7 linked regions of the Canis lupus familiaris genome follow. The protein of the gene in region 3 purifies or fractionates together with the protein of the main gene of each other region. This does not show direct contact. Links are inferred from orthologs where the notes say so. Each region holds a gene or a part of one and is shown on either strand. Other genes may lie near its edges. The genes, in order: SERBP1, CDK4, OTUD5, SLC7A11, CNP, EEF2 and CACYBP.

The links.
Region 1: the proteins of OTUD5 (region 3) and SERBP1 purify together in Homo sapiens (affinity purification with mass spectrometry, with the first as the bait; 3 studies listed by BioGRID). This does not show direct contact. The link is inferred for Canis lupus familiaris from reciprocal best matches to the Homo sapiens genes OTUD5 and SERBP1.
Region 2: the proteins of OTUD5 (region 3) and CDK4 purify together in Homo sapiens (affinity purification with mass spectrometry, with the first as the bait; 4 studies listed by BioGRID). This does not show direct contact. The link is inferred for Canis lupus familiaris from reciprocal best matches to the Homo sapiens genes OTUD5 and CDK4.
Region 4: the proteins of OTUD5 (region 3) and SLC7A11 purify together in Homo sapiens (affinity purification with western blotting; 3 studies listed by BioGRID, with this or other methods). This does not show direct contact. The link is inferred for Canis lupus familiaris from reciprocal best matches to the Homo sapiens genes OTUD5 and SLC7A11.
Region 5: the proteins of OTUD5 (region 3) and CNP purify together in Homo sapiens (affinity purification with mass spectrometry; 3 studies listed by BioGRID, with this or other methods). This does not show direct contact. The link is inferred for Canis lupus familiaris from reciprocal best matches to the Homo sapiens genes OTUD5 and CNP.
Region 6: the proteins of OTUD5 (region 3) and EEF2 purify together in Homo sapiens (affinity purification with mass spectrometry, with the first as the bait; 3 studies listed by BioGRID). This does not show direct contact. The link is inferred for Canis lupus familiaris from reciprocal best matches to the Homo sapiens genes OTUD5 and EEF2.
Region 7: the proteins of OTUD5 (region 3) and CACYBP purify together in Homo sapiens (affinity purification with mass spectrometry; 4 studies listed by BioGRID and IntAct, with this or other methods). This does not show direct contact. The link is inferred for Canis lupus familiaris from reciprocal best matches to the Homo sapiens genes OTUD5 and CACYBP.

Annotation. Positions count from the first base shown.
Region 1 is NC_049226.1:43,506,274-43,510,327, reverse strand, and holds the start of SERBP1 (plasminogen activator inhibitor 1 RNA-binding protein), read right to left. Parts: upstream 2,801-4,054; 5' UTR 2,679-2,800; coding exon 2,366-2,678; intron 808-2,365; exon of another isoform or gene 793-807; coding exon of another isoform or gene 705-792; intron 1-704. UniProt on the Homo sapiens protein: Ribosome-binding protein that promotes ribosome hibernation, a process during which ribosomes are stabilized in an inactive state and preserved from proteasomal degradation.
Region 2 is NC_049231.1:2,166,960-2,170,938, forward strand, and holds the start of CDK4 (cyclin-dependent kinase 4), read right to left. Parts: upstream 2,801-3,979; 5' UTR 2,600-2,800; intron 2,128-2,599; 5' UTR 2,109-2,127; coding exon 1,891-2,108; intron 1,758-1,890; coding exon 1,622-1,757; intron 1,506-1,621; coding exon 1,338-1,505; intron 1,204-1,337; coding exon 1,094-1,203; intron 834-1,093; coding exon 783-833; intron 638-782; coding exon 502-637; intron 260-501; coding exon 167-259; 3' UTR 1-166.
Region 3 is NC_049260.1:42,311,294-42,315,481, forward strand, and holds the start of OTUD5 (OTU domain-containing protein 5), read right to left. Parts: upstream 2,801-4,188; 5' UTR 2,024-2,800; coding exon 1,430-2,023; intron 1-1,429. UniProt on the Homo sapiens protein: Deubiquitinating enzyme that functions as a negative regulator of the innate immune system. Has peptidase activity towards 'Lys-48'- and 'Lys-63'-linked polyubiquitin chains. Can also cleave 'Lys-11'-linked ubiquitin chains (in vitro).
Region 4 is NC_049240.1:5,026,375-5,029,874, reverse strand, and holds part of SLC7A11 (cystine/glutamate transporter), read right to left. Parts: intron 2,460-3,500; coding exon 2,344-2,459; intron 1-2,343. UniProt on the Homo sapiens protein: Heterodimer with SLC3A2, that functions as an antiporter by mediating the exchange of extracellular anionic L-cystine and intracellular L-glutamate across the cellular plasma membrane.
Region 5 is NC_049230.1:20,761,855-20,764,412, forward strand, and holds the end of CNP (2',3'-cyclic-nucleotide 3'-phosphodiesterase), read right to left. Parts: intron 1,982-2,558; coding exon 1,532-1,981; 3' UTR 501-1,531; downstream 1-500. UniProt on the Homo sapiens protein: Catalyzes the formation of 2'-nucleotide products from 2',3'-cyclic substrates. May participate in RNA metabolism in the myelinating cell, CNP is the third most abundant protein in central nervous system myelin.
Region 6 is NC_049241.1:55,972,687-55,976,781, reverse strand, and holds the start of EEF2 (elongation factor 2), read right to left. Parts: upstream 2,801-4,095; 5' UTR 2,647-2,800; coding exon 2,644-2,646; intron 1,685-2,643; coding exon 1,470-1,684; intron 575-1,469; coding exon 393-574; intron 308-392; coding exon 96-307; intron 1-95. UniProt on the Homo sapiens protein: Catalyzes the GTP-dependent ribosomal translocation step during translation elongation.
Region 7 is NC_049228.1:24,270,209-24,273,708, reverse strand, and holds part of CACYBP (calcyclin-binding protein), read left to right. Parts: intron 1-1,166; coding exon 1,167-1,263; intron 1,264-1,509; coding exon 1,510-1,609; intron 1,610-2,861; coding exon 2,862-2,959; intron 2,960-3,500. UniProt on the Homo sapiens protein: May be involved in calcium-dependent ubiquitination and subsequent proteasomal degradation of target proteins. Probably serves as a molecular bridge in ubiquitin E3 complexes. Participates in the ubiquitin-mediated degradation of beta-catenin (CTNNB1).

The sequences.
Region 1 (4,054 bases), on a different chromosome or scaffold from region 3:
ATCCAAGCCAAACACACCCAAATGAACAATGGCTTCCTTCCTCACCCAATTTCACTATTATGCTTACAGAACCTAAAAAATTTACTAAATAATTTCACCCTATGACTGACATTTAAAAATTCAAGCTTCTCTTAACCTACTTGTATGTACTTGCAAACTCACTGGATTTTCAGTCGATTCCAGGCTTCGGAAAAAAAAAAAAAAAAATTTAAAAACGCCTTGGTCTACATTTTTAGCGATGACATTCTGTGGTGTCAGTTCTCAAATTCTTCAAATGGACAAAAGACAAGTGACAAAACTCCTATCATGTTAGATACTGTATCTAAGGTATGTCTAGCATTTGCCAGGACCTATATTCAAAGGCAAAGATCACATAATCAGGTAGCAATTTTTCCCACTGCACGAAGTGGACTTTTTACAAGTCTATCCTTCTCCAATGCCCCTGAACATCAACTGACAGGTAGTAGGGTCTGAAAAAAAATCTTTTTCATTCAACATTTCCCTTTTATTTTTAAGACTATGTTTTATGCAATTTAAGAGCAAGACTGCTATGTATTGCTGATCTAAGGAAGACGTTGATAGCTAATATGGAAGTTTTCCCAAGGAAAGAGTACTAAATGGTGAACTCCATTCTGGTTATAAACTCATATAATAATTCTCCACCTCTGTAATTTAAAATACTAGGTCCCAGGTTAAGCGCTTACCTCCTCCAAGATGGGCTTTATGATCAAAACAACTGAGGGGTTTAAACCAGGTTTCATGCTTTAAACATTCAAAATGGGTGAAACACATCTACCTGGTACACTTAAGATTTAAACATTAGGCTCAACGTTTTCAGGCACTTTTTTGGATTAATGAGATCAAGGAGGTAAACTTGAGCAAAAATAATAATTAACACAGGCCTGTGTCCCTTAACGCAGAAATTAAATAATTATTTAGCTGTGCTACAGGTTGCTTTAAAACTTAAGATGACTGAATAGATATTTGGTCTAAACGAAGTATACCCAGCTTTCCAACACTCCAAATTCTGCTTCTCCCCAACCTGTAATTTTGATACAAGAATTATTTTGTTTTATTCATCATAGGTTCTTCATTCCAAGCATCACAGGAGTTCTGTATTAAAAAAAAAAAAAAAAAAAAAAACCTTGAGCCAAAACCTAACACAATTGGTGATTCTGAAAATTAGTTGTATGCTACAAAATTCAAAACTAATGAGAAACAACTTCTTTCAGGAGCACGTGGCAGTAAAAGGTAATTTCAACTTTTAACATAAAAAGGCAACTTTTAAAGTTCCGGAGCTGATCGGGTACACGTTTTATCCTCCAACTGTTTTTGCTTTATTGTCCACACAGAAGGCAAACCAGCAATAAGAGAATGCAGAAATCAACCTCAAGACAACCCTGTGAAGTTTACAGTGACCTCTGGAAACAACTATTACCCGCCAATGAATCCCGACCATGCTTCACGCACACGTGGAGAAAAAAGCTACAGATTCAAAAGCGCTCTGCTGGGGCTAACGTTGTGACAGCCTCTGCACTCAATTCACCACGAGGCCCCGGCCGGGCCACCACACGAAATATTGAGTGAGGGGGTGGGATGGGGTGTCGGGGAGAGAGGACGAGCTCAGGATTTCCTGCAATAACCAGTCTTCGTTCAGAATTCCCGCCTCTGCTTACCACAGTGTAAGCACATTTGTCTTCTCAAAAGCTTAATTCGCTCCAGCAAGTTAGTTGTTCTTACGAGTTGAAGGGAGGAGAGGGGACTACACGGCACATGGGGCACCTGAAGCCGTAGCTCACTCCACGGAACCCAGAAGTAGGTCAGGTGCACTCGGACCCCCGGCGTCTCGCTGGGGGGTACTCCGCGCCCTCGTGGGACAAGATGGCAGGAGAGGAGCCAAGCGCACCTCAAAGCAGCACGCCGAGGGCGAGCTCCGAGTGGGAAGGGGCCGTGGACCCCACGCCTGCCCGTAACTGCAAATGCTTCAGTCAGTGGCCAGCTCGCCCAGACCTCAGACCTCGGTCGCCGCGCCTGCCCGCCAAGGAATCCGGCGGGAAGGCAACAGCCTCCCAGGACAGCAGCGCGCTCGAGCAGCAGCAGCTTATCTCCGGGGCACGCTCCTCCGCTCAGAAACTGAGGCGGGAAGGGGGTGACTCCAGGAGCCTCGCAGGTGGCTTCAACTTGGGGCTACCACGCTCCCGGCACCTTCGCGGGACCTGGCTTTTGTAGCGCGAGGAGAAACGGGAGGCAATCGGCGGCCAAGCCTCCCGCGGGCCCTCGGAACTCCGAAAGCAAGTGGTAGCCGCAAGTCCCCCTCGCTCCTTCCCTCCATCCCGGTCTCCCCCACCTTCCACCACAGCTTTACCTTCTTTCTTAAGCGCCACGGGCGGCTGCGTCTCCTCTTTCTTGTCAACCACGCCAACGCTGGGGGGCAGCGGGTTCTTGCGGTCTTTCTGGGACTCTTTACGCAGCTGTTTGCCTGCCGCGCTGGAGTTGGTCTGGGCTGCGGCCTGAGCTGCGCTCTTGGCCCCAGGGCCCCCAACGCCGCCCCCGCCGGCTTCTTTTTTCTTGTTCTCTGCTGCCTTCAACACCTCAAAGGGGTCCGATTCGTCGTCAAATAACTGGTCGAATCGGTTGGTGACCACGCAGCCGAAGCCTTCCTGTAAGTGCCCAGGCATGATGGTGGCTCGGCGGCGCGTTCCTCCACGGATTGCAGCGGGCCGCGCCGAGCCAAGAGCGCCTGCTTCAGCTCTTCCCACAAGATGGCCGGGCCGAGAGAGGGGGGCCGGCTTCTCTTCCGGCGCCAGGCACACATCCGGGAGCGGCCAGCGCCGCACGGCACTATGGGGTATGTAGGCCAGAGTCGCTTCTCCTGAGGCGGCCCCCGGCGCCAAGACTACAATTCCCAGGATGCGTGGCGTGACAATTCTTCGCGCGCGCCTAAGAGGCGGGACCTCACGGAGGGAGTGGAGCGTGCTAGCAGAGGGAGTGGAAGCGCGGTGGTGGGCGGAGTCCTGCCACCTGCTCCAGCCACCCTTAAACTCTCTGGGTCTTGAGCTACACCGAAAACAGGAAAACGTGACGGCGTTTTTCGCTCGCGAAAGTTCTCTGTCTCTGGTTTTACTCACCCCGTCTCCAGTCCAGGACTAACTTTCCTCACCTCCGGGGGTGGGTCAAGGTGACTCCAGATTTTACAAACTTCTAGTGCTAGGGTGTTGCTGAGGTACCCCGCGGGCCTCGCGGAGGCAGGTCCCGATCCGTTCCAAGTCCCTAGCTGCCCAGGTGCTGGAGTCGCCCTCTTGCACCGCCAATAATGAATCGAGACTCTTCTGTTCAATGTGAGGAGGAATACGGTTTCTCTCGCGGGGACACGAACTGGGTTAGCGCAATTAATCAGAGACGAGTTGAACTGTCTCACAGGGCGGTGTTGCGCGCCTTTCCTGAGTGTTGCGATGGGTGCATTCATCGCAGCTAACTCCTAACAGTGCGGCACTAACTAGACAGAGGGCAAGCCTCGAAAAGCACTGTTTGTAGGAACACTTTCTGAAGTCAATCCAGTTGTCCATTAGCGTCCGGGAAGCCAAGGATTAGGTGTTAGTAAAATGTGCTCAAGAAACGTTTTAAAGCATCCGAGTGTGTAAGGGTGCCGAGGGATGCGATGAGGGTAGGGAAAATATGTCAGCAAATTAATTGCCATTACTAAAAGTATTGATATTAGTTGGGAATATTAAGGTCCAGTAAGGCAATAGATGATGTCAGTGCATATTCAAACATATTTGGTAAAACTCTTACTAACTTACCCATGTTACCACAAGCTAGGGAGTGGGGTAGGACTATCCTTAGCAATTTTTATCTTATGTATAGATCCCTGGTTTCCTCAAACAGATCTTTATGACTATCAAGTGTTATTACAATAAGAATACTTACAGATAAGCCCCATTTAGAGGAATTGTGTGGCTATGAGTTTCTGAGGTTTACTTGTGCTCCTCAGAGAATTTTACCTATTAATATAAAAATAAGAATGAGTTTTGGGGGAAAAGGGGAGAAATTTCTA
Region 2 (3,979 bases), on a different chromosome or scaffold from region 3:
ATTAAGGCAGCAAAATATTCTCTGTAAAAAGTGGGAGTTGTTTCCACAGCCTCAGAGATGAAGGTCAAGACTGCCTTCTTAGTTTGGGGAGCTCTCCACTCAAGTGTTCAAAGGAAGAGAAAAGACAGCTTCTCTCCTCTTGCTACCGTTGCAGCCATTCCACTGCTCACTCTGGGTTACCTTCTGCCTTTTGTAGATAAGAGTGCTGCAGGGCTCGGAAGGCAGAGATTCGCTTGTGTGGGTTAAAAGTCAGCATCTCCTGAGAAGGGGAGGCAAAGATCAAAAGGTCATGAAGACAAAACAAAAAAAAAAAGAAAAAGACTTCCGCTCACCCCCAACAATACCTAGGATGGGCTATTTTCTACATCCCTCTTTATGGATGGCCTATTCACTGGCGCCAGTAAAAACTAGCCCATCCACCAACCAAGTCTTAGTAACCGCAATGCTAGTGCTCGGTCTTCCACCCCATCCTCAGCCTGTGCCCGTGCCCACGCCCAGTACCAGCAGCAGCTGTGCTCCAGACTCCTCCATCTCAGGTACCACTGTCTGTACTGGACGGGGCCCTCTAGGGGAAAAGGCTCCTCGGGGCAGAGACACATCTCGGGGCCAGTCATCCTCTGGGGGCAGCCCGATCAGACTATGGGGAACAGGAGAGCTCTGGTCAAGAGGGTCTTTCTCTAGCCCACATCTCCAGGGGCAGAGCCAACTGCCATGTGGGGCTCAGCAGAAAAAAGATTTGGAATGGAAAGTTTTTTTTTTCTCCCCTCATGCTGGTCACTTACTCAAAGATTTTGCCTAACTGGTCAGCTTCAGAGTTTCCACAGAAGAGAGGCCTAAGGTGGAAAAAACACAGAAGTCATGTCCAAAGATACAGTAGTGGAATAATTACTGGTAGGTAATGGCTCAAAACAGAGAGTGTGGGGGAATACAGGGATGTGAAGTTCCTAACTTTGGGACATTTCAGAGTTTCTGGTTAGGGACAGAACAGTCAACAATACTTAAGTGAAAGATTGGGCAGGAAATGGATGTGATCTATGACTAAGAGATTTGGTTTGGGAAACTCAAAATAGTTCAGGATGCTTGGGTCCCATACTTGCGACGAAACATCTCTGCGAAGATACAGCCGACACTCCACATGTCCACGGGTGTTGCATACGTAGACTGCAGAAGAACTTCTGGAGCACGATACCAGAGTGTAACAACCTAATAGGAACAAGAAAAGTGGATGAAGACCCCATGGGTTACCATGAACCATAACTGGTTGACTAAAGTCACAAAGTGCCCGACTTCTCAACTGCTACGGTCAACCCCTCTCCTACTCCCCTCTTGCTACTGACCACAGGCGTAAGTGCCATCTGGTAGCTGTAGATTCTGGCCAGGCCAAAGTCAGCCAGCTTGACTGTCCCACCACTGGTCACCAGAATGTTCTCGGGCTTCAGGTCTCGGTGAACGATGCAGTTGGCATGAAGGAAATCTAGGCCTCTTAGAAACTGGCGCATCAGATCCTGGTTTAGAAGGGGGAAGAACAGAGGACCTGGAACTAGGCACCATACCTGAAATCACAGCAGGTTCTGCCACAAAGGTCTCAATCTACTCCTCAGTGTCCACCCACCCTACTCACCTTGATGGTCTCCACTGGCAAGCCCGGTGGGGGTGCCTTGTCCAGGTACGTTCTCAGGTCTTGGTCCACGTGCTCAAACACCAGGGTCACTTTGGTCTCCCGGTCGGTTCGGGCAGTGGCGCAGACGTCCATTAGCCTGGCCAGAACAAGTGGTCACTCACTGATCAATCCCTCTGGACCCGATGCGGCCTTCCCCATTTCCCCAGAATCCCCACCTACAAGTTGTCTTTTCCCCTTTACTACCCACTCCCCACCCCCCACCTTCTCACCGGACAACGTTGGGATGCTCAAAAGCCTCCAGCCGCCTCAGCAATGCCACTTCACGAACTGTGCTGATGGGAAGGCCCCCTCCGGCACCTCCTCCATTAGGGACTCTAACGCTCTTGAGGGCCACGAAGTGGCCGCTGTGCGGATCACGGGCCTTGTACACCGTTCCATAGGCACCAACCCCAATCTCAGCCACTGGCTCGTACCGAGGAGTAGCCATTCTCGGATCAGAGAAGACCCTACAATCACAAAAGCCTCCTGCCACCGAAAATCCCTCAAGAGTTCAGGTGGTATGAGCCTGCCGCAACGAGGTGACTCCCCCACAAGGCATCACAAAGACCCCCCCTCCACCACCCCGTCCCTCTCCCCAGTTCCGTGAGGCTGGCTCCTCAGCTGACACAATGGCTCTAACCCCAACCCCGCCAGGGGGGGTTATTTAACCCACGCCTTAAATATAAACGTGAATCCCTCAAAGAAAGAATTCCTCTTCCTCGGGGACGGGCCGTCGCGCCCCGCACGGGGCAGACCGCACACGACACACCCCCTGCATCGAAGACTCGACATCCGTCCCTACCATTACATCCCAGCTGACCACAAAGGAACTTTGCGCGGGCCGCACTTCCCGCCCTCGAGCGACCCTCCCGTAACCTGCCCGCGTAGGCAGACGCGAGGGCGACAGCGGTCCCGTCCCCGGGAAGGCGCCACGCTCACCTCACTCGGCGCCGGGTGCTGCGGGGGCGGCCCGTTATCGGGGCCCCGGAGCCAGAGCCTGCGGCGCCATACACAGGAGCTCTGTCCGGGGCAGCTGGACGCTCCGGGCCCGACCATAGACAGGCCGCAAGCTAGAGCGGCCCCCGCACCCCCACCCTCACCATGTGACCAGCTGCCAAAGAGGCGCGCGGAAACTGGCGGGGCGGGGCGAAAGCCGGACGTTCGGGCCACGTGACGAGCCGCGCGTGCGCAGAGGGGCGGCCAGAGCGGCCTCGGCCGGGAAGCGGGCGGGGAGGGGAGAGGGCAGGCGGGGCGACGGCGGCCACGTGATCTGTTGCTATCACACGTGACCGCCCGACTCCGCTCGGAGGAGCAGAGGTGTGGCTACGCGGCGGGGCACGTGACCGACTGCCAGACCCGGCGGGGGTGCGGGGAGACGGGGGAGGGTGGAGTCCAGGGCGGTGCCATGGCAACCCGGGCCACCCGGCTCCAGGGCCGAGCTGCAGGCCGCGCCTGAGCGCTTCTGGCGCTCGCTCCTCGCTCCGCGCCTCCCTCTGTGCGCGGCGGTCAGGGAGCTGGAGACGAGGCGGGGGCGGGACGGGCGCTGGAGCCTTTCGGCCTCACTGCCGCGGGGAGACCTGGTCTCGTTTGTGTCTTTGTTTCATTCATTGGCTCATTCAACAAATTTTTACCGAGTGCTCGCTTCCTGTGTGCATGCGGGTTTTTTTTTTCCGGTGTCTCAGTCGCTGGCCCTTTAAAGGAGTGATGGGGCTGTCTGGAAAGACGTAGCCCCCGGTGGGGACAATACCCATCTCAGGGCACAGCCAGCACTAACGGACTGACGGAAGGCACACTAATGCAGTGACCCAACCGGAGGAGTGTCAAGGTGATGCCCTCCCATCTTTCCAACTTCCACCTCTTCCAGGGAGCGTTAAAATAAGACGGTGCTTTCTGGCGGAGAAATTACCAATGAGCAAGAGACAGAAACACTTAACCTGCAAGGTTCTTTGCAACAGGGAGAGGCAATGATATGCGCGTTTGTGTATGTGTGGGTATTTTACACATTGTGTACAGATGGACAGATACAGGAGTGAGCGTGTGCAGGGAGGTTACCTCCACCACCACCTTGGACCTCAGCACTGCGTGAGAATGATTTGTGCTCTTCCACAAACCCTGTGACTCCTTGTTTGGGGTCGTTCTGCTTCCCTCTTTCCCCCGGTGCGAGCTTTCTTAGTCCTTGCTCCCGCCCAGAACTTGGACTTTCCCAAATTGCTTCTGCTCACAGACACTTAGGTCGACAATAGACAGGTTCCTCTGACTTTCCTTATTTCCTAGCCCTTTAGGGGAATGAGAGTAAGGAGGGAAGAGATCAGTATCTCG
Region 3 (4,188 bases):
GTGTCCCTGGTGCAATGGGTCTCAGGCCCTGAAGGCAGACTTAGATCTATGGGTAGGCCTCAGGCTCCATCTCTGGGACTCCATGCTACCATGTTCTCTGAAGAGTTTATCTGGCTACAGTTCCTGAAGCAGAGATCTTCTATCCCTGACAAGAAGCTCAGGCCTTTGGAGCAGGGGATGCTAAGATCCCTGTTACAGGGGGAGAAAGGGCTGTTACATACCCAAGCTGTGTTTCATTCCCTCATAATCAGGGTAGAAGGATCTCATATCCCTGTGTTTGTGTGTGTGGAGGGAGTGTCTCAGACCACCCAAGGAGAACACTCAGATACCAATCCCTGATTTAAAAAGGACCTCTAAAGACCTCACCTTGCCTGGGACCTCTGTGTGGGGGGTATCCATTTCCTGAAGAGGCTTCAAACCCCATCTCTGTAAGCCCCAATCCATAAGCATGGGGAATCTTAGCTTCAAGTACCCAAAACAATGAGGCTTATTTTCTTGAAGAAAGGTTCAGACTGGGGAGGTTGGGGGACAGAAGAGCTGAAGGCCTATCAGTTAAAAGAAGCTTCAGCTCTTAGAAATTCAGACTCTTGGCCCCAAGGAGGTCTGGGACCACTGAAAGGAAGCATATACCCTTATCGCTTAGAAAAGGGATGAATCTCATGCACCTTAGTAGTTTCTGGTCCGAGTGTTAGTTTTGGCCCTTGTCCCCAAAGGGAATCTTAACTCTCTCGAAGAAATTTTATCTCCCTTAATAAAAATTCAGAAGATCCCCTTCTCTAAAGGGAATATATATGTGTGTGTACATCAGGCTCCTGATTCTAGAAGAGGGAGTCTCAAGCCCTTGAAGGCAGACTTAGGCCCCTTAAGGAAATCTCAGACTCGGACTTCTGCGTGGTCCTAGGCTGTCTCCCCGAAAAGGAAGTGGGAGTGCTGTCCTGTATAAACGGTCTCTCAGACCCCTGAAAAGGGTTTAGGTATCTCGGGGATGCTCAAAATTATCCTGAGGTCTCTACCTTACTTGTGTTCACACAAGGAGTCGTCTTAGAGACTTATCCCAGAAAAAAGGAAATCTCAAGGCATCAAACACACACCAGGTCCCCCAGAGCCATGAGACTCCCCTCTCAGGAGGCATTCCCACCTACTGGTCGTACGTGAGCTTTCAGGGACTGGAGTAAGGGTTCCGGGTTCCAGAAGGGACCACAGACTGCATCGGTAAGTCCGCCATCTTATCTGGGGCTTCTGATCCCCAAGTCCTTGGTAGGGGGCGGGGAAGAGAGTGTCTCGAGCCCCTACCATCAAAGAAGAATGCCAGGCTCCGGGAGAAAGCATAGGTCCCTTGGAAGATCTCAAACAGCCTTCCTTAGGTCCCCACCCAGTCTGGGCACTTCCATTCACCATACCCACTCACCTGTCACCCCCAGCCCATTACCTGCTCGACGGTTGCGGGGTCCATTGCCTCGATGCGAGCAGCAGCCGCTTCATACTCGTCTTCACTGTTATAACCTGCGCCGACCTCCTCACGCTCTGGACTGCCCCCTGCAACCGCTCCGACCCCGGGGGCTTGACGCCGACGCTTGCTGTGGCCCGGCCCAGAGCAGCAACCGCCAACGCCTACCGCTCCGCCCACGCCCACCACCACGCCCGCCGCGCCCACACCCGCCGCTGCTGCGCCCAGCGCGTCGCCGGGACCGCCGCCGGGACCAACAGGGCCCCCGCAGGGAGGAGGAGAGGCCTGCTGTGGCCGCGGACCCGCCACGGCGCCAGGCGGCACGGCCAGCGCCCAGCGGTGAAGCGCTCCCGGTGGCCCCGGTAGCGGGCCCTGAGGCGGTGGCGAGGCCCGAGGACGGGCCCCCACGACGCCCGAGTCACGGTCGCGGTCGCCGCCGCCCACACCCGTGCCGCCGCCGCCCACGCCCACACCCCCGCCGCGACGCGGCGCCGGGGGCAGCGGCCCGGGCGGCGGCGGTTCGTTGGTGGGGTCGGCGTCGGGAGGCGGCGGCTTCTTTTTGGGGAGAATAGTCATGGCGGCACCGCCAAGTACCCCCCAGCAAACCCGGCGCGGGGCACGCTGGGAGAGAACCCGGATGAGGGGGCTACTGTGGTGCGCGAAGCACGACGGGATCGGCGAGACCCGGATAAAGGGATTGAAGCACCGGTTCGAGAACCCTCGGTGGCGCGCGGGTCACGCGGCAGGAGAACCCGGATGTTAAGTCCTAGATGAAAGCACCGCGGCGAGTTTGTCGTAGCCTCCTTTCCAAGTCCAACAAGCTTATTGCTACGCTCGCTCGTTCCGGACTGCTGCTTCAAAGGAAACAGAACCAAAACAAGCACCTCCTCGCCCCGCCCCCTCGCAGGTTCTTGAACTACCGGGTGGGGCCCCGGGGCGCTGCGCACGCGCGCCAGAGCACGGCCCCGCCTCTCGTTCGGAAGTACGTGGGCAAAATTCTACGCCGCCGCCACAACAAGTGAGGGCACCAACCAATCGAGACGCCTGCGTAGGTCCTCGATGACGCCCACGGACCAATCAGATGCGAGCAATCGCCCTCCCGAGCCTTCGGTCTCAGATTTCAGTCAAAGTCGGCGCCTCGGTTCTTTGCCTTTCTTCTCGTTCACTCCGTCACACTCTCTTCTCTCTCCGAGGCTCTAATTCGCAGGCGGCGGTACTACAACAGGGCAGCGTGGCCGGCCCCGCGCACGACAATCTTGAAAGCGCTTCCCCTGCCAGGCTCCCAACTTGGCCGCAGTCAGCTGGACTGACTGGAAAATATCAACACTCCCAGAGCACTAGCACTCCCCTGAAGCGTCAGTTCCGGTCCCACCCACCTGCAAATCCACATCCAGAGGAGAGGCGGGCGCCGCTTCACCCTGGCAACAGGCCGAGTTCTGCGGTGACTGGTTAAGATAGGCCGTCACTCACGTTGGACCGGCCAACCCTGGGACAGACCTGCCTCGCGAGGACCTTGGGTGTTTGGGAAGCAGACACACCTTTGGCGCCGCAGCGCTCTCGCCCTCGCGTTGACCTCCCCGCCCCTGTGGCTAGTGCGCAAGCGCGGCACAGCCTTTCCGACCTGCCCTCCTGCCCCCCCTTCCCCCGCAACTAAGTTTACCTGGATGGAGCAAAAGTTTATGAGCCAGAGCTGTTACCAGCCCCCCTGGCAAGGGGGTTGGTAAAATCCGTGGTATTTGAGCGGTGGGAGAGCTACAAGCTAATCATAGCTCTGCCTCTCCTGTGTGACTGATTTTGGCAAGTCATTTAACACCCACCCCATCTGCAGTTTTTCAAAAAATTTTTTGTTTATTTTTTAGTAATCTCTGTACCCAGTGGAGCTGGAACTCACAACACCCGAGATCAAGAGTTGCATGCTCTTTGGACTGAGCCAGTCAGGAGACCCCATCTGCACTTACTACTTTTCTGTAACATGGAAGTGGTAATTATGACTTAAGGATCAGAGATGAATGCTTGTAAAGGGCCTAGTGCTGTGTCTAGCACATAGTAAGTAAGTGTTCAATAAACTAGTCTGAATGGCATGCAAAAAAAAGGATCCCAGGCTTGACGGTCAAGAAGACCTCAGTTCCTGACCCTGATGGATTGTTACCAACTCTATGACCTTGAGCTAGTCACTGTGTCTCAAATTTGAGGTTACCCAAGCAAAACGGGTAATGATAATGCCTGCCCAAACTACCTCAAGGAGTAGTTACAGGTTCAGATGGGCTTATGAATCAGGAAGTTGTTTCGAGAGGTGAAGGCTTGCTGCCAGTCTTAGGAGTCAAGCCATATAACATGTTGACTGAAAGACGATCAGAAAGCTCTTCTGAGTGCCATCTAACCTTCTTCCTGCAGATGCTGACCTTGATTGAAGTTCTTCCTTGAAGGGTGTCAGTTACAAATGGAATGTTGTGTTCACTGCTCTGAAGACTTAATGGGAGAAGATTCACATTTAATGGGCCTATTGTGTTCAGGGCACTGTGCCAAATGCCTATGCGTGTTATCACATTGAATCGTCTCATGATCATCCCACTTGACCTAGATTTCCTACTGGATACTTGTCCAGCACTACATGTCTAAAATTGAACTTAGGATAATCACTAGCTAATCTTCACTAAATACTTTCTATGCGCCTGACACTGTCTGCTAACAGCTCTGATGTTCCTTTTGACAGTGAGTGGCACCCCCACTCAGCCTTTGTC
Region 4 (3,500 bases), on a different chromosome or scaffold from region 3:
GTGTCTCTGCCTCTGTGTGTGTGTGTGTGTGTGTGTGTGTGTATGTGTGTGTGTCTCATGGATAAATAAATAAAATCTTTAAAAAGAAAAGACAGTTGGCTGGATATAAAGCAAGGGTTCTCAACCAGAGGAAATAAATAAATAAATAAATAAATAAATAAATAAATAAATAAATATTTAATAGCATTGAGATAAAGAAAAAGAGCCATCCAGACCTTACCAAAATAGCACTATGTCATGATTATCCATCTCATTTGAAATCCAAAGAGGCAGTATTTGTGAACTTGTAAACGTTTACATAAAATCTACTGAAAGTTTGCTAATTCTTTTAATTAAATTGAGGAATACACATGCCTACACTAGAGATAACTTTTAAAACTCCTATTGTAAATCTACAAATCTCTCAAAAACATTACCTCCATCTCCTTTTTGAATATAATAATCATGCTACTATTCTGCCTCAGTCATTTTAGGGACAAAAATATCATGGTTATAATAATGCCTGTTAGTCCAATCCCTTAGTGGGATACCAGATTTATCAAGAACTTTCTACAGGCAAGGCACTTTGCTTAAGGCTTTAAAAACCTGATGTAATTTCATCTTTCTGCAGCCATCCAAGACAGATTATATTTTCGCAGATATTTTACCAATAAATAAAAGTAATGCTTAAGAAGGTTTAATATTTAGCTCCAAATCACATAACTAAGAAATTATCACAATAAGTTTCAATTCCAGGCTGTTTGCCTTCAGAGCCAGAGCTGTAACTACTATGCTAATATAGTTCATCCCACAAAAGCTCATGGTATTAGATCTGAAGATCACATTGAACAAACTCTATTTCATTTACCGCCATTGTCCTACTGAGAAAACTGGAGATGTGTAATCCTCCAGGTTTAACAAGTATATTTTTCTACTAGAGAAAAATTCTTAGAAGTCTTCTCACAAAATCAGTGAGTCAACAAATATTTATTGAGCACGAACACCACACAAAAACCATGTGAAGGTCTAGACATATAGCAGCGAAAGAGCCCCTGGTCTCATGGAACTTCAAATGATGTTTTCCCACAAGAGCACAAACAGCTACTATTTGTAATTTGTTCTTAATAAATTGCAGGCATCACCCAAAATACTATATGTTTGTTGTCTCAGCTAATATCATTTACTCTTCACAAAACACCCTATGAGACTCTGCAGGATTTACAGGTAAGAACACTGAAGTGTGGAAAGCTTTGATGATTTGTCCCTAAGTCTCATATCTGTAGTGTCCGTTAGGGACCATGATGAGTTAAGTTTGCCATCACCCCTTCAGAACTCAGAAATCTTTCTTTAAAGATTTCACAGGATAATGGTGTGTACATGTTTGGTAGATAAGATAGAAAATCCAGAATGAACCTATGTTCAAAATATATGTATCTACACTAGAGATATTTTTATGTCGAATTCCTAGTTATTTCCTGCAAACAAGCCACTCACTTCCCTACCAGTAAATGTGCATTGTTCAGTGTTCTATTGAAATACCATAACGATACATAAATGAAAAATTTTTCATTAGGTATGAAATTCAGTTATTCCTGTGTCATTTTCCATTTCCAAATAGAACTTAATCAAACATGATTATATTGATTCTTAAAATTGGCTCAATTAGCATCTAGAATTAAGTTATTGTTTTCCATAATATTCAAAGGTTTGGCTTCATACCACTTATGTAATGTTGTGTATATTCCTCTTTTACATGTCTTTTAAAAAAATGTCTAGTATTTGAGCACATTGATAAAAATGAACAAATTCCTAATATGGAGACCTATTTTGAGAAGTGCTACCAATAATCAAATATTAAAAGCAGATTTTTATCATGACCATCAATGGACAGCAAAAACTGTAACACTGGGAGTGACAGTTTGCTAACATTATAAAATGTCTGAGTACAACATACACACCTAACACATGAGGAGCACTCTATAAGGATAAGTGAGTTATCATTCAACATATTATCAAGGAGGAAGGATAATTTCTAATTCAAAACTCCATAAAATAATTGGGATTTTGTCTGTAAAATTCTCTCTTCATGTATTATTTTACTAATAAAGTGGTTTTTGTTTGCCTATATCAAAAGATTAGCCATCATATCTATTGACCCAGTGTAAACTGACATAAAATGTAATACCAGAGATCATTCTGAATCCTCATTCTTTTCTTTATTTTCTGAAACAAATTGGGCAAGGAACTGAACACCAAAAGAGCATGATGTGAACAGCAATCCCATCATGCAAAAAATCTACAGAAATTTTGTCATCAATTATTTTGCTTTTTTTTCTTTTTCATATTTGTACCAGTGATACTCACTTATGCCCACAGCTGTAATAAGCTTGATTGCAAGTTCAGGAATTTCACATTGAATAAAAAATGGTTCCAGAATATAGCGTCCAAATGCCAGAGAAATCACAGCAGTGGCTGCAGGGCTGGAAAAAAAATTAGGTTAACAAAGGAAAATATAAGTAGCATCTTTACTGAACTTTCTCTAACTTGAGGTAATGTTATTCAACATAAAGAACATGCTAAGTATAAAAGTCTAGGGATGTCTGAGTAGCTCAGTGGTTGAGCATCTGCCTTGGCTCAAGGCGTGATCTTGGGGTTCTGGGATCAAATCCCACATCGGGCTCCCTGTATGGAGTCTGCTTCTCCCTCTGCCTGTGTCTCTGGCTCTCTGTGTCTTTCATGAATAAATAAAATATTTTATTAATAAATAAATAAATAAATAAATAAATAAAAGTCTATAATTTTCCAAACTCCATATTTGAGTAGGTTGTCATAGACATTCCAAGGAAAATATTGCCTATAACTTCAGTGGCTATTTTTAACTTCCCATGTCCATGGAAGTAAGTCTTTGTGCTATCAATTTTGTCACTGCTCTTCTGGATTTGACTTTTTTTTTTCCTTAAAAATCTAGTTTATTGAGATCTTGACAAAGCTGGGCTTTACAAGAAGCAGTCCTCCCAATAAGTCAACAACTAAACTCCAGCTGCAGCATGAATGGGTCAAGGGAGCAGATCGAATGAGTGGGGGCACAGTCAGGAAAATGAACACAAAATTCAACTTCAAAAATTATTATTAATAAGTGTTCATTGCAAATATACACTTTTGTCCTTACATTGTATTCTTCTTATTTTTCTGGTACAACAAAAACTTGACAAGCCAAGTAATTATTCTTAATTTTATAAAAACATTTAAATGCAGAGTATAAGTTGAAAAATAAAAACACTGTTGTGATTTTATACAATTGAGAAAACATGCATGAGATTAGAAAATTAAATAAGTTCAGGTCTATAGTAAAATAGGTAACTAAGCATTCTACTCTAATTCTTCTAATATTTCTATGAGAAAATGACATGTGACTCTATATTTCTATACAAATGCGTAGTCTTTCCATACACAGGCAAGTTCATAGAATTATATAATTTCTCCTGCCAATCTTTGCTCTCAGCTTCTCTTCTCATAGTTAC
Region 5 (2,558 bases), on a different chromosome or scaffold from region 3:
ACCCCCCCAACCCCAACCCCATTCTTTCCAGTCTTCCTCCACCAGCACCAAGGCCACGGCGATAGGATGACTGAGTTAGGCCTGAGAAGCTCCCCCATTGGCCTGTACGACACTCCTGAGGATGGCCTTCCCTAGAGAACTGGTGGAAACTCAGACCAGCACCGTGGGTCTAGCTGAGCAGTCCCTCTGATTGTTTGGGGCTGGCACACCTGTGGGTCTCTTGCCTCAGTTAATGGGGGACGACAGGCTCTGCTCCACGTCCCTCAGACCCAGACACCCCCCACTTTGTGTGCATCTAAGATCAGCCGCTCTCCTTTCTGCCGCCTCATGAAAGCCAACACTGTTCAGCTGCCCAAGCTCACCACAGCTGTGCCCAGCCAGCAGAGGGGAGACAGGACCGATGGCCCCAAGTTGCGGGACAAAGCCAGTCCTGATACACCAGCCCTGGCCCCAGGGAAGACTGAGCTGGGCACAGAAGGGTGAGAGAGACTGCACACGGCCAGGATTAACACGGTTTATTTCACGGTCAGTCTTACAAGTCACTGAGGTTGGGCAAAGCCAGGATAGTAACTTAAATCTCAAGCACTTTCGTCCAGTGACAACCCGATTAGCAAGGCCCTGTTACTGAGCAGGGGGCAGTGGAAGGCACCCCAGAAACCACAGCACATGTACCAATGTTAAAAACCCCTTCCCAGAGGCACTAGCTGGGGCGTGGTCCTCACCAGCCAGAGGGCCACTCTGTTGGCGCTTGGTCCCCACCCACTGGCCCCCTGTGGAGGAGGCAAGCTGGACCCGGCAGACGGCAAGATGGGAGCTTCCCCACCAAGGTACTTGCTCTGGCCTCCATCTTCCCATCCCGATGACACAGCCACACCACTGCACAGGATGGCCAGCCTGTCCCCTGCCTGGGGCGAGACCAATAGCCAACTGGGATGTGGCTGTTGCTTATTCTTCTCTTTTCTTCCCTACTTGTCAAACTATTCCCTAGTTATAGTGTGGAGGAGGAGGGGACAGGCACTTAGGACTGAAGGTGGGATGAACCCCCCCACCTCTCTTTTCTACCCTGGTAAGAAGCCCCAGCCTACCATGGGGCTGTAATGATTAAGATCCAGGGTCAAAGCCCAGGGATCCCTCCCACCCTCTCCAGTTCCCATGGACGCAGTGACCACCCTGTGGGGACATGCAGCTCTGGGGCATCTCTCTGCGCTAGCCAGCTTGGGGCAGGGGCACCTGGGACAGGCAGCAGGGCTTGAGGTTGTGGCTGCGGCTCCAGGCCCAGGCTAGCTCAGCCTTGTCAGCTTCGCTCTGGGTTCCTGAATGGCGCTCCCCCACACCCCTCTAATGTTGAAAGCTTGGGTGTTAAGAGGGGACAAGGGTGGGCAGGAGAAGCTACAAGTTTTTAAAAAGTTACGGAACGGTTAACTTTGAGTAAAAAAAAAAAAAAAAAATTTCCTAAAGATCAAGCAGAAGGCATGCTTCCCTCTCCCCCCACTTCTCTTCTAGACCGGGGGGCTGACAGCGGTGAGAACACTCAGATGATGGTGCAGGACTGCAAGGCGCCTCCCTTGCGGCTGCCGTGCGTGGGCACAGGTTTGCCCTTCCCGTAGTACCCCGTGAAGATGGCCCTGACCTCTAGCTTCTTGGCCAGGCTCAGCAGCCAGCGCCCATTGCCCAAGGAGTAGAGTTTGCCCCGGTTTAGCTCACCCACCTCCTCACCTCGGCTGCCCCCCTTCTCCTGCCGCACAATCTCCAGGAGGTCAATGCCCGTCTGCACGGGCTCCACGTCACCCGCACAGCCGAGGGTGATGTGAGCCCGGCTTCCCCGGGGCAGGCTGTCGGAAGGGGACAGCTTGTCCACGTCATTTGGCCACAATGGCAGCTCCTGCTCGCTCAGCTCCACCCGGGCTCCAGCAGTCTTGGGCGTCACAAAGAGGGCAGTGATGGTCAGTGTGAAGGCCTTGCAGTAAGACTTCTTCACCACCTGCAGGGACAGAATGACAGCCCTAAGCTAGAGGTGGTAGCCCCTGGAGCAGACAGTTGACCAAGAGTGGGCTTAGCAGAGGTGGACACCACTGAGTAGAATACTCGGGTAAAAGCTGCGCACAGCCTGTGTTGTGAGAGGACATCTTTCTGCTGCCCCCATCAGGCTGATGTGAGAAAGTGGAGGTGCCAATGGTGCTGGACACCGGGAGCTGAAAGCCAGGCTTCCTGAACTCATCCTGGCTCCCCACCTACTAGCTGCAGGGCTTCGAGCAAGCCACTTAACCTCTCTGCATTGGCTCATTACACAGGGGTGATACTAGAACCTACCCCAGTGTCTGGATGAAATGAGTGTCTGGGTGAAGATTCTAGAACAGTGACAGGCATGTGACAAGTGCTACTGTCATTACTACTCAGCTCAGCCTGGTAAAAGCCACCATAGAGCCCAGGCAATATCCCAGACGACAAGCTGAGGTCAGAAATAAGTGCCTCTGATCAAAATCCACCTTGTACACCTTGGTTTACATCAGCTCACACTAATCAGATCCGATTAAATCTGATTTTCTGAGAAAGACCAT
Region 6 (4,095 bases), on a different chromosome or scaffold from region 3:
GAGTTAAGGACTGTGGTTCCCCACCTTGGGAGACGTGTGACATCAGCAAGCTGGTGGAGGAACCCTCACTTTCAATAGGCAGTTAAGCTACTTACCATGATGTTGCCCATGGGACCGCTCTCGCCCTCCCCATACGTAGAAATGATGACGTTGACGTTCTCCACAATGCGCTGGAAGGTCTGGTAGAGCTCCTCAGGCTCCAGCTGCAGCTCCAGAAGAGCCCGGTCCATCTTGTTCATCATCAGCACTGGCTTGATGCGCTCTGCAATGGCCTGCCGCAGCACCGTCTCTGTCTGCACGCACACACCTGGGGATGGGCATCTCCATCAGCCAGAGGAGGAGGTAATAGCCCCCGGGTCCCAGCCACACCGAGGGGGGTACTTATCGCTTACCAGACACACAGTCCACTACCACCAAGGCACCGTCGGTGACACGGAGGGCGGCAGTCACCTCTGAGGAGAAGTCCACGTGCCCCGGGGAGTCGATGAGGTTGATTAGAAAGCCAGAGCCATCCTTACTCTGCTTGATAAAGTTCAAGTCGTTTTCGGAGAGCTCATAGAAGAGTGAGATAGCCCTGAGGAGATTGGTGCAAGTTGGATCGATGGAAGCCACGTTTCATTGCCCTCCCAGTGACCCCTGGAGTCAAGCCCAGGTTCCTGTCCAGGGTTAATATGGCTTTCTTAAGTATCAAGGAGATTGTAAACGGTTAAAAAACCAAGTCCCACACTACAAAAACACCACAACCTGTTTCCTCTCCTTGCTAATTACTTCTTCCTGCAGACAGATTTCAGATTTCCCACAAAGAAACCATTCCACCCAAGCAGCTTTGCCCTCAGCCAGGGAGGTCCACCTCCCTCCTAGTACCAGCTACCAATAGCAGCCTCTGGGAGTCCACCTGTGCAGCCCCTTCATTCAGGTTATTCCCAGGCTCAACACACTTGCTTCCAAATATTGACCCTGTGCCCAAACTATATCTAAAAACCCTAAACTATCTCTTTCCCTCCGTTGTCACCTAAAATAAATCTCAAATGACCTAGTAGAACCTCACAAACAATAGATAATTGGCAGCTACAGGCACTACTTTGAATGCCCTTGCTCAAAACGGGGAGCCAAAAAACTGTCGCTGCACAGCATAAGATTTTTGGCAGCGTCCTTATGCCAGTGGCACTACCCCCACACTTCTCCAGGCACTGCCCAGAGCCCTGAAATGAAGCTGCCGGGTTAACCCTCTTTTCAAGGCTCCCCTGCCGCCCCACCCCAAGCATCACTGCGCCTCTCCAACTGGCTGCACTTTTCCATCACTCCACTGCGCCTGTCTGCCTCACAGTTCAGAATCCCAACCCCCAGCTGCTCCAATCATCTCCCCAGCAGCCCCAGGAACACGGTAGCACCTGCCCTCTGGCTTCTCCACCCAAGACCTGGGTGAGGACCTCCCTCCCATCCTCCCTAGGATATCAGAGCCTGCTCACGTGGACTTGATGGTGATGCAGCGCTCCTGCTCGTCCTTCCGGGTGTCAGTGAAGCGGGTCTCCCCAGCGCGGGCGGAGGCAATGATACCGGCCTTGCACACCAGCGAGTCCGTCAACGTGGACTTGCCGTGGTCCACGTGGGCGATGACGGACATGTTTCGGATGTTGGCCTTCTTGTCCATGATGGCCCGGATCTGGTCTACCGTGAAGTTCACCTGGGCGGGGAGGGGAGGAGGGGAGGCTCAGGCCTGCCCAGGCGGCCTTGGGACTTCACAATCGATGGGCTGCCAGGCCCCTGCCAGGTGTGCACACTGCAGCTGGGCTGGCCCCAAACCACCACCTGAACTCCATCTGTTTGCTGACACCCCTTGAAAATGCCACTTGCCCCGTGGGGGGGGGGGAGGGGCAACGCCGCCTGTCACGGACACACCGCAACTCGGGCGGGGACGAAGTCTCTGGCCCCGAGGCCGTGACTTCCCAGGGCACACGCTGGTCAGAGGCAGCCCGGCCGCTGCAGGGTGCAGGAAGGAGGAGGCTCCCCGCAAGCCCCATCCCCGCTGCCTTCTCCCCGGCCTCTCCCAACCGGAGATCCAAGGTCATCCCTCCAGCTGGGGGTCACACGGGGCCAGCGTCCCCCGGAGGGACGGCTGGGCGGGGAGCTCGCCCTGCCCCCCGCGGACGCCAGCCTCCATTTGCAGGCCGGCTGTCAGCTGTTCTGAGCCGGGACGCGGACGCGCCGGGGGCACAGGCAGGCGGGCGAGGGAGGCCCCCCGCGCTGGGCGGGGGGAGGGGCTCCCCCCCCCCCGCGGACCCCCCAGCTCACGACCCGGGTTACAGAAGGCGGCTCCCCTCGCCGCGCTCCCCACACGGCGCCCGCCATTACAGCGTCTGCCACATCATCACCACCACCACCACCCCCCCGCCCCGCCTCGGCCCCAGCTCCGGACCGGCCCGGGCTCCACGCGAGGCGGAGGCGCCCCCGGAAGCGGGGAAGGGGCTCGGCGAACGGCGCGTCGCGCAGACATGGCGGCGGCCGCTTCCTCAGCCCCGGCCCCGCCGGCGCCGCCATGTCTTCTCCACGTCCGGGCGGCCCCAGCGCTCCAAGGCCGAGAGCGCCGGCCCCGCGGAGGCCCCGCCGCCCTCCCAGGCCGCCCGGCCCGCCGGCGTCGCTCACCATGGTGGCGGATGGCGGTGGATTCTCCCAGGTAGATCCGAGCGAGGCGAGTCGCGCCGAGGATGGCGGCGACGACGGCGGAAGAGAACGTTGACGTCAACACCCGACCTTTTATAGGCAGAAGCCGGTTGGGCGGGTCATCTGACCGCGCTGCGGGGGCGGGGCGAGAAGCAACGCCCTGCGCAGGCGCAAGGACGCACTCCTCCGGTTAACCCTTCAGGCGCTGGCGTGGCTGCGGGAGCTCCCGGGGGCGGTGGTCTCCCGGGACCTGGGGGCACGCCTCCAGAATGCGATGCTCAGGTGCAGAAAGCGAAAGGCGCCGTTTTAGCTGAGAATATTAATCGTAGCAGCTCTATCAGCTTCCAAAATGCCATGCACTTCTGTTAAGAGCACTTGACAATGGGAAAAGGGTCTGTGGATTGTACCGCAGCCAGTTTTCTGGTTTTGCTGTTATGTAATGAATCCACTGAGGGACAGTGGAGCAAGGATACTCGACACCTCTCTGTACTATTTTTGCAACTACCTGCCTATAATTATTTCAAATATGAAAACCTTTTTTGAAAGCAGATGTTAATCACACGCTTATCCCACAAAGATAGATTGGCTATCTACTTCACCAAGAACTGTGATAGGTGTAGTCGCTATAGCAATAAACAAAACACCTTACCAGCCCCACCACTTTACCTGCTCTTACACTAGGTATTTGGGTTTTTCTGAGCCTCAGTTTCTTCATCTGTAAAATGGGGTAATCGGTACTACTTCACTGGGGGAAGGAAAGAGTAAACACATGCAAAGGGATTAGCTCTGGTGCCTGACACAGCACCCAAAGCACGTCAGCTCTCTTAATTAGCTATCATTGCTATTAATACAACATTTATTTCAGGGACATGGTTTGCTATGTCTCAGGCACAGGGCTCAGCGCTTTCCAGGTGCCATCTCATTTTCTATTTCATTTCCTCTCCAGCCGGAGGTTCACAAGTCTATTTTGCATTTGTGTCCTAATGTGACCCTAACAAACTATTGTATTCAGGTCTTTGGCTCGAGAGAACAAATCGGCATGCCATTCCATATCTCTATTCTTTATAAAGAGCCAACCTCAATGCTTGGTACGAAATACATGCTTAGGAAATATTTCTTGCATCATCAGTGAACAGTATTCTTACTAGCACAAACCCCATAAGGTACATCTTCCCCTACACTCATGCTGTCAAAATGAGAGGGACAGCATGGCTTTTCCCCAGCTGGGAAGAGGGAAGATGTGTATCCCCAAAAGGCAATGCTAGATGGAATCTGAGCTCAGCCTGTGCATCCCTCCTTCCACAAATGCTTTGCATGTTTTGCTTTGTAAAGCACTGTCCAGCCCTGATTGCATTTACACTGATTGCATTTACACTGAGGGTTGATTCAGGGGCTTTATTTTTGTTTAAGATTTTATTTATTTATTCATGAGAG
Region 7 (3,500 bases), on a different chromosome or scaffold from region 3:
GAGAGAGGCAGAGACACAGGCAGAGGGAGAAGCAGGCTCCATGCACCGGGAGCCCGACGTGGGATTCGATCCCGGGTCTCCAGGATCGTGCCCTGGGCCAAAGGCAGGCGCCAAACCCCGCTGCGCCACCCAGGGATCCCTCATGTATCTTTTCAAAGTAGTGTTTTTGTTTTCCACAAGTAAATACCCCATAGTAAATTTACTGAATCATAATGGTATTCCTATTTTGAATTAACTGATTAAGCTCCATAACTGTTTTCTACTTTGGCTGTACCAATTTATATTCCCACAGTGTACAAGGGTTCCTTTTTCTCCATATCCACACTCACATTTGTTATTTCATGATTTTTTTTTTCTTTTAAATTCTAGACATTCTGACCAGATGTAAGGTAACATCTCATTGTAGTTTTGATTGGTATTTCCTATGATTAGTGATGTTGTACATCTTTTCATGTGTCTTGGCTAACTGTATGTCCTTTGGGAAAACATTTATTCAGGTCCTCTGCCCATATTTTAATTGGATTGTTTGAGGGGTTTTGGTGTTGAATTATATGCAAGTTCTTTATTTTATATATTAACCCCTAATCAGATTACTTGCAGATATCTTATCCCATTCAGTAGGTGGCCTTTTCATTTCATTGATAGTTCTTTTATATACAAAAGCTATTTATTTTAGTGTGGACATAACTGTTTTTGCTTTTGTTTTGTGCCTCAAGAGCCACATCTAGAAAAATGTTGCTCTGGCCAATGCCAAAGCCACTATTGTCCGTGTTCTCTTCTAGAAGCTTAGGGTTTCATGTCTCACATTTTGGTCCTTGTCTATTTTAAGTTTATTTTTGTGTGTGGTGGTAGAAAAATGAACTATTCTTAAAGAATGTGTTAAATGATCATATTCCTTATTCTAATGAATTAAAAAAGGGGGAGCTCTGTGTTTAAAAAAACCTGGATTTTAGAAGTTCTGCCACTAGCTAGATGCCTAATTTTGGGTAGATTTTGTAGCTTTGTTACAAGCTCAATTTCTCCATCTAGAAAATTTCTTATATTTTTAATATTTCCCATGTTTCTAATACTAGAATTTAGTTTCCAACAGTTTTAGGAGCCATATGCATTTGCTGTTCTAGAGATAGTTACTGACTTTATTCATGTCCCTTTTTTGTTATTACTAGGATGGGATCAGTCAGATAAATTTGTGAAAATCTACATTACTTTAACTGGAGTTCATCAGGTCCCCACCGAGAATGTGCAGGTGCATTTCACAGAGAGGTGAGTTCTCACAAATGGGAAGTATAATGATCATTAAGTCAGAGATTGCCTTATTACTCCTTTTCTTGTCAGTTTCTAAAACTGTTTAAATTTAGAATTCTCCTTTCCACCTACTTTGAAGAGGTTAATATCACCAAGGATGGACAAATGCACATCCTAAAATAAAACTTATGGCTTTTTTCCACAAGAGCTATAGAGCACCTCTCATATAACCAGAAAGATCATGTATTCACTATTGTATTGTAGGTCATTTGATCTTTTGGTAAAGAATCTAAATGGGAAGAGTTACTCCATGATTGTGAACAATCTCTTAAAACCCATCTCTGTGGAAGGCAGTTCAAAAAAGGTAAGTTTGCTTTTATTTTATTGTGAAACCTCATTAAATTGAACCAGGTTAATTTAGAATTGAGAAAAACTAGAATTTTTCTGTAATGGATCAGCAACTACAGCCTGATGGCTATGTTATTGGAACAGGCCCCCCTATTCTCTTGTTTGTGTGTTCTCTGGCGCTGATTATGTTATAATGGCATAATTAAGTAGCTGCGCCAGAAGCCTAAAATATTAACTATCTGGCCCTTTGTCAACTCTTGCCTCTAGAATAGATCATTATAAGAATATTGCATTTAAATCAGGAGGGGAAAAAAATAAATCAGGAGGGGAATAAGCTTCTAAATTGATTAAGAGTGAGCTTGAATATTAATGTCAAAAAAATAAAAAGAATTTTAATGTCAGTTTTGCCACTTACTAGTTGTGACTTTCTGGCAGCTCAATCATTCTGTGCCTCAGTTTCCTCATTTGTACAATGGGAATAATTTATTTTACAAAGCTGAAATTATATACTGAAATGAAATACATATAAAATGGTTAAATTAATGGTAGCTATTATTAGAAGCACCATACCTAAATTTTTGATACATAAAAAGACTTAATTAAGCTAAGTTAGGCTAAGGACTTAGCCTAACTAGAATTAGTAAAATCTATAAAAATAAATAGCCTTTTAAACTACTACACTTTTCACTAATTCAGATAATCTCTTTTCTATTTAAGTTAAATAAGGTTTAATGCAGCTGGCACATAAATGTGCCATTCTGCCATCTGTGTTTACATAATTATGTAGCAGCTTAAAGGCAGTATTAGAATATAATTTATTAATTAGCTTGTGTCTCCGTGCTTCCTCCTTCATCCATTAATCTCATAGTTGAATAAATACTCAAAAGAATCCTGGGAATTACATGGATTGTTGTTGAAACAGTTGAAATTATATGATTTTGCTTTGTGCCTATCTCTGATCCCTCTTACTCTATCACTCTCCTTCAATCACCAAAATCCCACCACACACACTCTTTTTTTTTTTTTATCAGACCCACCAAAATCATCCTGTTTTATAGCCTATCTTGCTGTGCCCTTCTGGATCTTGGGTCACAGCTCAGATTTCACCTCACAGAGGCCTTTCCTAATGAAGTTCTTCCCTCAAACCCCATTAACACCTTCTTTGTCTTGGTTTTTGTCTTAACATAATAGTAACTTGATTGAGTAAATGTTTTCCAAATAACCATGTTTATCGCCACATGCTGTAAGTTGTACTTGTTTTCTTCCAGGTCAAGACAGATACAGTTCTTATCTTATGTAGAAAGAAAGCAGAAAACACACGGTGGGACTACCTGACTCAGGTTGAAAAAGAATGCAAAGAGAAAGAGTGAGTTTACTTTCATTTCTTTAAGAATTTTAATGTATTCTTTGCTGGGATTGTAGATTTTTAACACTTTGCCATTGTGGATAAGAGTTGTATGTGATTTGACCATTTACCTCTTAATGTTCTCTGAGTAACCCAAGCATCTTACATCTTTCTGTCCACTTATCTAAGGAGGGCACATGTCCAGGAAGTTGCTTTTTACAGTGGACTTAGTTTTGATTGGGTCTTTTGTATTGGTTCTTAACCCTGGGCTTTTAAGAGAGGGATCATGTGTGAGCAGATTTGGGGGGGCGGGGAATGCGGCGCAGCCAAGGGAGAGAGAATCTTAAAGGGCTCCACACCCAGTACAGAGCCTGACACAGGGCTCTCCATCTCTCGACTCTGAGATGATGACCTGAGCTGAAACCAAGAGTCAGACACATAACCAAATAAGCCATCCAGGAGCCCGGCCAGTTGTGCTTCTATGTAGCTTGTGTGTCCATTCCCAGAGGTTCCATTTCATTAGTCCCAGATACCTAGATACACTTTTTGAATTCCACAAAAG